Drosophila melanogaster: one gene and its partner. Changing the gene in region 1 together with any one later gene gives a genetic interaction. Each region holds a gene or a part of one and is shown on either strand. Other genes may lie near its edges. The genes, in order: fon and Tsp.

Evidence for each region.
Region 2: of fon (region 1) and Tsp, changing one enhances a phenotype caused by changing the other (phenotypic enhancement), as found in Drosophila melanogaster (one study listed by BioGRID).

What each region holds. Positions count from the first base shown.
Region 1 is NT_033779.5:19,384,509-19,388,433, forward strand, and holds the start of fon (fondue), read right to left. Parts: upstream 1,698-3,925; 5' UTR 1,628-1,697; coding exon 1,579-1,627; intron 1,285-1,578; coding exon 1,272-1,284; intron 1,198-1,271; coding exon 1,162-1,197; intron 856-1,161; coding exon 1-855. Other genes in the region: CG17549 (uncharacterized protein), read right to left, coding at 2,662-2,883, 3,030-3,261, 3,354-3,428, 3,532-3,805.
Region 2 is NT_033779.5:6,707,100-6,711,024, forward strand, and holds the start of Tsp (thrombospondin), read right to left. Parts: upstream 1,988-3,925; 5' UTR 1,188-1,987; intron 1-1,187.

The DNA of each region.
Region 1 (3,925 bases):
CTGCCAAAGGTGGAGGCGGCATTCGATCCGTAAGTCAAACGGCTGCTGGCAACTGGCTGAACCAGCTGTGGTGCGGACGCAGTGGTGGTCACCTTTCGTTGATAGTAGTGTGCGGTTTGAACTGGGACCGTCTGGGTCACCTGGGTAGGCTGTTCAACGATACGTTCCTCGTGATGAACGTAACGCTGGGAGCCACCGGGAATGGTGTAGACCACCTGTTGCGGGGTGGACACAATCTTCTCGTGCCTGTAATACTCGGAAGTGGGGACGGACTGCACGGTTTGAACTCCGCTGAGCAGCTGAGCACTGGAGTCCACGGCGTTTACGCCACCAAAGTCAACCTTGTTGCCGGCATTGGCGTTATCAGCAAACTCCACATTGCTGCCCACCTGGTGAGCGGCGGTGCTGCCGAAGTTGGAGGCGGAGCTGGTCTGAAAGGCGGCGTTGCTGGAGAAGGAGCTACCGAAGGAGGCAGCATTCTGGGCGCCAAAGGAGGCGGCATTCTGGGCGCCAAAGCCAGCAGCATTCTGAGCGCCAAAGGAGGCAGCATTCTGGCCGCCAAAACCGGAGGCAAAGTTAGAGCCGAAGGAACTTCCAACACCAGCACCAATGGTGTTCGTACCAGCAGAACCACCCAAAGTCTCAACGGCACCACCTAATCCGCCAGCGGAGGCACCTTCGGCGGATTCAGTCGCACCCACGGAGTCGTAGGAGCTCTCGAGTTTTCCCAGAGCAGAGTCATCAACCTGAGCGGAGGCGCCATCGACGCCAGCTCCAAAGCTACCGCTATAACCTCCACCGTAGCCGGCGTTCTTGCGAGCCTGCTCCACCGCTTGTCCGTGGGTACTGTAGTGGCTGAGGATTAAGGCAGTTGACAATTAATAGAGAGAGATTGTCATTGGGTCTTTTAAAAGATCTTAGAATCAACAATTTTAAATTGTAAAAGCAACTCAAAATAAACAACAAAAATTTAATTCAGCATTGATCTTAGTTTTGCGGTGCTAAACTAAGCTATATATTTGTATTCCTTTGTTGATTCTAGACATATTTTTCTAAAATTTAAATTTCAAAATTTTGAAGTACCATGTCAGCCAATGGGAATATTTCAATTTTCTCGATTCAGAAAAGAAAGATCGTTAACATTTGCAACAAGGCACTTACCGAGAGTGGAAACTGTCACGTTTGGTTCTCCCCAAACTTTTAGATTTAAAAAATTTAAAAAACAAACCATTAGAATGTATATTAAATGAGGCACTTCAAATTAAAATTACCTTTGTTGGAAATCTGTAATGATAAAAAGAGGAAAATGTATTAGTTAACGTACGCAAGAAGATTTCAAAATCCCATTTAATCAAAACCTAAATACGAAATTGATAGAAATTTAATCACTTTAAGTTTTTCGTTTAAAGATATTTCTCATTCACTTTAGAACATATTTTTATTTCCAAAGAGTTCACTTTTTAATTATTATATTTTATTACAACACTAATCAAGGGAAAATAGTTTGTTTGCCAGGCTTGCCAGGACCACTTGTTTAATTTTCTGAACTAGTTGATATTCGGGAAACGAGTGCACTACCTCCACAGACCACACCCAGGCAAAGGGCCAAAATCAGCAGCTTATTCATTTTGGCAATTCGTTTTAGCTCTTGACCGAAAAATACGTTCGACACTCGCGATTTAAATTGTACTAATGCAATCGAGCGAAGGGAGCTCCGCTTTAAAGCCTCAGACGGCGGTGATAAGAGCCACTTATGTATAACTCAGTCTTGAACTGATTGATTTCTGACCTAGAGAGAATGCCACTGATAGTACACGTAGAATTGGAGCTCGCAATTGGTGCAGAAAGCTGCGAGTGATGAAAGTTAATTGCGACATCATCGCCCTATATAGAATATTTTTTATATTCAGCTTTGATGATCGGCGTGGAACCTTGCTCAAGAAAGACCCAGTATATAGTTGCCATGTACGTCTGCCGACATTATCACATTTGCGATTAATTACATATATGTATACAAATTATGTTTATAGGTGGGAACACAATGCTAATGAGCTCCCATTGAACTTAGAAAAAACTGCGAGCAAGGTGAAGGAATATATAGAAAAAACCTTGAGCTTCAAATTAAATTCAGGAAGTACTAACATAGAACTATCTAAGTGGTTATGGTGGGTTTTCCAATTTTTGTCAGCATATTGTGGTTACGAAAATAAAAAGTCGGAAATAACAGAACAGAATAATATAGAATCAACTTCAATGAGATAGAACACTTCCGGTCACCTTTGATACGACCATCCGTCCAATACAAAACGAAAACATTGAAACAAATTAAGTAAATCTAATCTAGCAAACTGAATTGTAAATACTAAGCATTTATATACCTAGCAATGCCAACAGCAACGTCAAAATCAAGGTCAATATACAAATGTATATACAAATTTGCATTTTTTTTTTGTTTTGCCTAAGCCAGAAAGGGAGAACGAAACTTTCTAATTAAAGAAAGCTTCGCTTTAAGCCCCCGCCGATAAGAAAGTCCGGCAATTTGACAATAAAATACACGTATATTATTTTTATATTTTATACATATTCAATGGAAGCGGTTTGCTTTGTCAGACCGGAGTAAATGTTAGCCTAGCCACCAGTGGAGGGTCTCCGCCGATCTTTCTAGGAGTGCACCGAATACGAGGTGATCTTTCCGTTGTCGTTGACCGTGGTCTGGGCTCCACGTCGACTGGTTCCGTCTCCGTTGCTGTGGCTGAAGGACGAGACCGAGACGCCCTTGTAGCCACCACCGCTGCCACCACCTCCTCCGGAGCTGCTGGAGCTGGAGAACGAGGATCCACCACCGCTTCCGCCGCCAAAGCGATTCACAATGTTGGGAGAGGCCTGAGAAAGAGTTAAATCAGCCATTTGATTATTTGAGCTTATAACCTATTTATATAATATTTTAATTACTTTTAACTATTCACAGATACAACAGATACTTTAAATGTATATCCACTTTGACCGCACAAGGCAGTTGGATTTCTTACCGGATTGGATGGGCTAATGAAGGCCGTCTGGCGATAGCCATTGGAACCGATAGATCCGGAAGCTGATGCATAGCTGGGTGCATAGCGATGTGAGTTGTAGGATCCCGATCCAGATCCAGACCCGGATCCAGAGCTGGAACTGAAGCTAGAGCTGGTGCCTCCTCTGTACCGATTCTGGCGCACTAGATTGTCGTGGTAGGCCTGTTGAGCGGCGATCTGTTGCTGGATGCGACTGCGCACAAAATGACATTAGAATAAGGAAAAACATACCGTGATACCGTATTAGTGATTGGGATTAGTTAAGGACTAGCTACTTGTATTTACATATCGTTGTCGTTGACAAGAGATGCATCCGCGGATGCATAAGCATTGCCAGCCGTGGCCAGACCAGTTATAGCTCTACAAGAACAGATATATTCAAGCGTTAGGTTTACCCATAGCCCGCCGTATCACTACCCAAAGATCCCAAACAATCTATCCCCTGGATATGATCGATGCTCACTGTTGGTTGGCGAAGTTCTGGGCCAAAATATGATTCGTCAGCTGCTGGTGGAATAGATACGGATCGATGATGCCAAAGTTGGGTGAAGTGCCGCCATAGTCATCGTAATCGTAATAGCCACTACCGCCACCACCACCGGTACCCACATAGCTGCTGTGTCCACCGCCACTGTTATAGCTTCCCGTATAGCCACCGGCTCCTCCTCCACTGCTGGCATACCCTCCGGCGTAACCGCCGGCATATGCTCGTCGTCTGCGGGTCGGAGCCGTTTTTGCTGAAATGGAAAACATCATGTGGATGATAAAAAATATAGAGCTTGAAAGGTAAATTTAAATTTAAATTTGCCTTAATTTATTGTTACTCGTATGTATAGCTTCATTAGCCTATATTATTA
Region 2 (3,925 bases), about 13 Mb from region 1:
CCTAGCTAAAAGTATCTCCCAACTATTGGTTACTACATCTTCAAGATTAATACCCCTTCGGGTCACAACGCCACTGCCGCTAAATAATATATTCAAATAATAAAATAACCGCAAGTCTGAAATGTCTCTCGAACAGGCAGTTATAAATTGTTATGGGGATCTTTGCAGTGGGCGTCTTTTAATTGAATCGCTTGGAATTGAGTAGCAGAGCCCAGTAGAAGCTGCAAAGTGATTGGGAAATCGAGCCAAATAAAATTAAGTATTTTAACCGTTGTTGGGGAATGTGACCAGCTTCATTTGGTCAACATCATTAGCAATCTGTGGCTGCCGTTTCGAATCACAATTCATATTTGTTGGAGGGGAAAATATTCTGTGCTCTGACCTTATATGATCCACATAATTATAGTTCTCGCAAAGGCATAAACCTCAATCTGATCTGCTTTAAATACGTGTGGAAAGTCCGGTAATTAATAAATTATGACTCGACTGCGGTATTTATGGCGCCAATGCAGATAAGATCTCCCCAGATCCCCCATAGATTAATGTCGCTCGAATGGTGAGGATGCCACAGGCCGATTTTGCCGCCAGATTGCGGTTGACTTGGGTGTGGCTAATTAATATGTATCGATAGTATTTGAATTACAACAACAATTAGCTTGATTTATCATCAGATATAAAATGGCGGTGAAATGAATAGAAATCTTGTGAGGCGCTCATAAAAAATATTCATAGATTGGCCTATCAACAACTTGGTGATTATCATGCAATAAAGTCGAATGAAAAGGAGTTAAACTGCTGTGGGTGTGCAGCTAGAAGATGCGATTCTTTAGTCTACAGTCTGTTAAGATTGAAAACAAGAAATTAGCATTTAGCTATTAATAACTTTCTAAATGAATGATATTAATAAACATAGACCCAAGTCGTGATTACTTCCGTATATCTTTCGTTTATCTTTACGATCCTGAGAATATGTTAAAAATGAGATGATGCATCATTATTAACGCAACTTCTTTAAGAACAACTTAATATGCTCTAGTACCTTCCAGGCACTTGAATATGGAATGCACTTCGCACCTGGCCACTTGGCGCACTCATTTTCCGAGTGAGCGGAGTGTAGCCCAGATTTTGGCCACACGAATAAGCAGCATATGTAGAAGCCCGGAGGTCTGGCCCACCTTCACACTCACCTCGTGGTCAAGGACGCTGCTCTTGCTCTAGAGGTGCCCCCACTGCGGATGTGGATGTGATCCAAGTGATCCACTTGGCGGGACGGAACTGACAGCTCCTTGTTGTTTGTGCGGCTCGTTTGCGCCACTTGCGGCTGTCAACGCGCAATTTAGAATGGAAACGACCTGAGTTATTTTTACGAGTATTGCCACACTTTTCCGCCGCTTTTTCCTGGACGCCCGCACAGACACTTTTATTATGTTGTACTTTTGCAGAGCGAAAGATCAAACACGTCGCAAGGGTATCTTCACACTAAAAGAATCGATAACGAAACGGATGCATTAGACCATTTAAACCCTTTTCGAAATACGCGCCAGGTAGAAAAGCTGGATTTTGGAATGGGGACACACGCGAAGATTTCGTGGAGTCGATTTTATGGAATCGCGGTGGAGAACACGCGACGCCAATGCCTACAATCCTCCAGCAACGACAACTGCTCCGCAACTGACTCGCCCGTTCGTGCCAATAAAAATTAAAACACTTTTATGCTATTAAGGCGAACGCGACGCGATCTTGGACACCTTGGATGCAGAGGATGCTGCTTGAGGATCGATCGGATTTAAAAATATGGGCAAAAAACTTTGTACAGCGCGGGCTGATTTCAAAAGCACACTTAGGAAGCGTTTGAAAACTGAAACATTCTCGCGATAGTTCGATCGATTGATGCTACTGATTTATCGCCAAAACTAATCACTGATCACTTATCGAAGCACCTAGGACACGCACCGTCTTGTTCAACGTTCCAACGCGAACTGAAACTGAAAATTTGAAAATGCAAAGGGAATGATCGACGCGCAGCGTCGACTGAGGCAGCGGCAGCGCTGTTGGCTGGAGCAACTTGGAGCAGCGACAACTTGTTGTTGCCTTTCTGCGTTTCTGTTTTGTTCTCAGCTGTTGTTGTTGCTCTTGGGAGAAACGCGGCATTTTGTCTTCGTTTGTGTTTCTTTTGATTTGACGCGTGAGTAAGCCGCGACGCCCACGTGCAAAATTTGCGTAAACATCGACAGTGTGGCCAGATCGCTGCTGAATAATTGAGGAAGTGAGTGGAAAAAGTGGTAGTCAACTTTCAGATCTCATATCTTCCGCTTCCTTAGTAAAAAATAAAATTTTATAATGGGTAATCTTCTTTAAAATATAGGAAATTTAAAATTTATTTTCTATATAGAAAATGTTATTTTAAATATTCTGTAACGATCAGCGCAGTTTTCGTTTGTGCGCTTTAAGTTGCAATTATGTAATATATTGTTTAAAACTGCTGTGTAATTTGTAAGAATAAATATTTTGGTTAAAAGTCGCTCTCTGTGATTATATTTATGGGTAATTACTTATTGTCTTCAGTTCATTAGTTTATCCACCAATTATTATGGTGGAGTCGCCCACTTGGGCTGCCCCAATTGTAGATCGTTTGGGCCATTAAACTGAAACTCAATCCCGAAACATGCTTACATTGTAGGCCCGTTTAAGGCCATTAAATCGGATTCGTGCGAACCCTTTTCCGATAATGCGTCCATCCTTGTTTTCGACCACCACCTCCAAATCCAAAGGAACTCGGTGGATGGGGCCAGACTTTTGCTCTTTTGAAATGGAGATCGTAAATAAACGGCACGCTCTGCAGGCATTCAAAACAGACGAACTACTCGTTAAAACCAGAGCCCAAAATGATATGCATATGGCACCTATTAATGGCTACTTATGCAGTACAAGTGTCCCCCATTTCGGAACTCCCTCCACTCCTATTTGCCGTTGACACGGGACTGATGCGTAACACGACAGTAGCATCGGGATCCAAGGGAAAGGGAAGTTGAATGAATGGCCCGACCTGTTCGTCATTATGTCGCCGGCATGTCAGCGGACAGTTGGAGGAGGGCATTATGCAGATGTGCATTTATCACGGAGTTGCGGTGCTGCGGACACACCCGAGATGCTATCCCACATCAACGCTGCATATTTTGCCGCTTTTCGGACAGCGGCGACCACTTGCTGAAATTTCATTATGTGCGTGATTTATAAATAAGCCTCGCTGGCCCCACGCCCCATTCCACACACTCCTCGTCCGAATCCTCCTCGAGTTGTTCCCAGCATCTTCAGTGGTTACGAGCTAAGACGTCCCACGCACTTTTCGACGCCGCAACAGCAACATCAAGTCTGATCTCCTCCGAAATGCCCCACCTTTACCCCACCACCTCGCACTGCAGTTCAGTGCGTATTAATCATAAAATTGTATTATTAACATGTTTATTTTTCGGTCTTCAAGATTCGATTACACGCATTCTTCCTGCTCTTCGTGTGCAGCGCTTTCTGGAGTGTTTTTTTTTCCTCAGCGAACGTGACTTTGTTGTGCAGTGTAACGAAAGTGAGCTACTTTCTAACACTCTTAGGGGGGTTTGGGATTATCATCAGCCTTCAATTGCTCTAGGAAATATTGTCATTTTACGACTTCGCCGGTTAATTGGGTTACGTGGCTTTGGCCACTGATGCCGACCAGGCCAGATGCCTTGCACCTGGAAATAGTGTGGGAGTTGGCAAGACATGGTTTGATTGGAGTGAAGTTGGTCAAGCTTCCGGCTTAATGATTCAAAGGAGAGTGTTTAATGGCAGTTGATAAATATGCATATCTAAGTGCAAATATTTACCTAAAGGTGTTACCATAGCTCTCCATTCACCCTACAAACTAAAAGCAAGTGCTTATCACTTAATT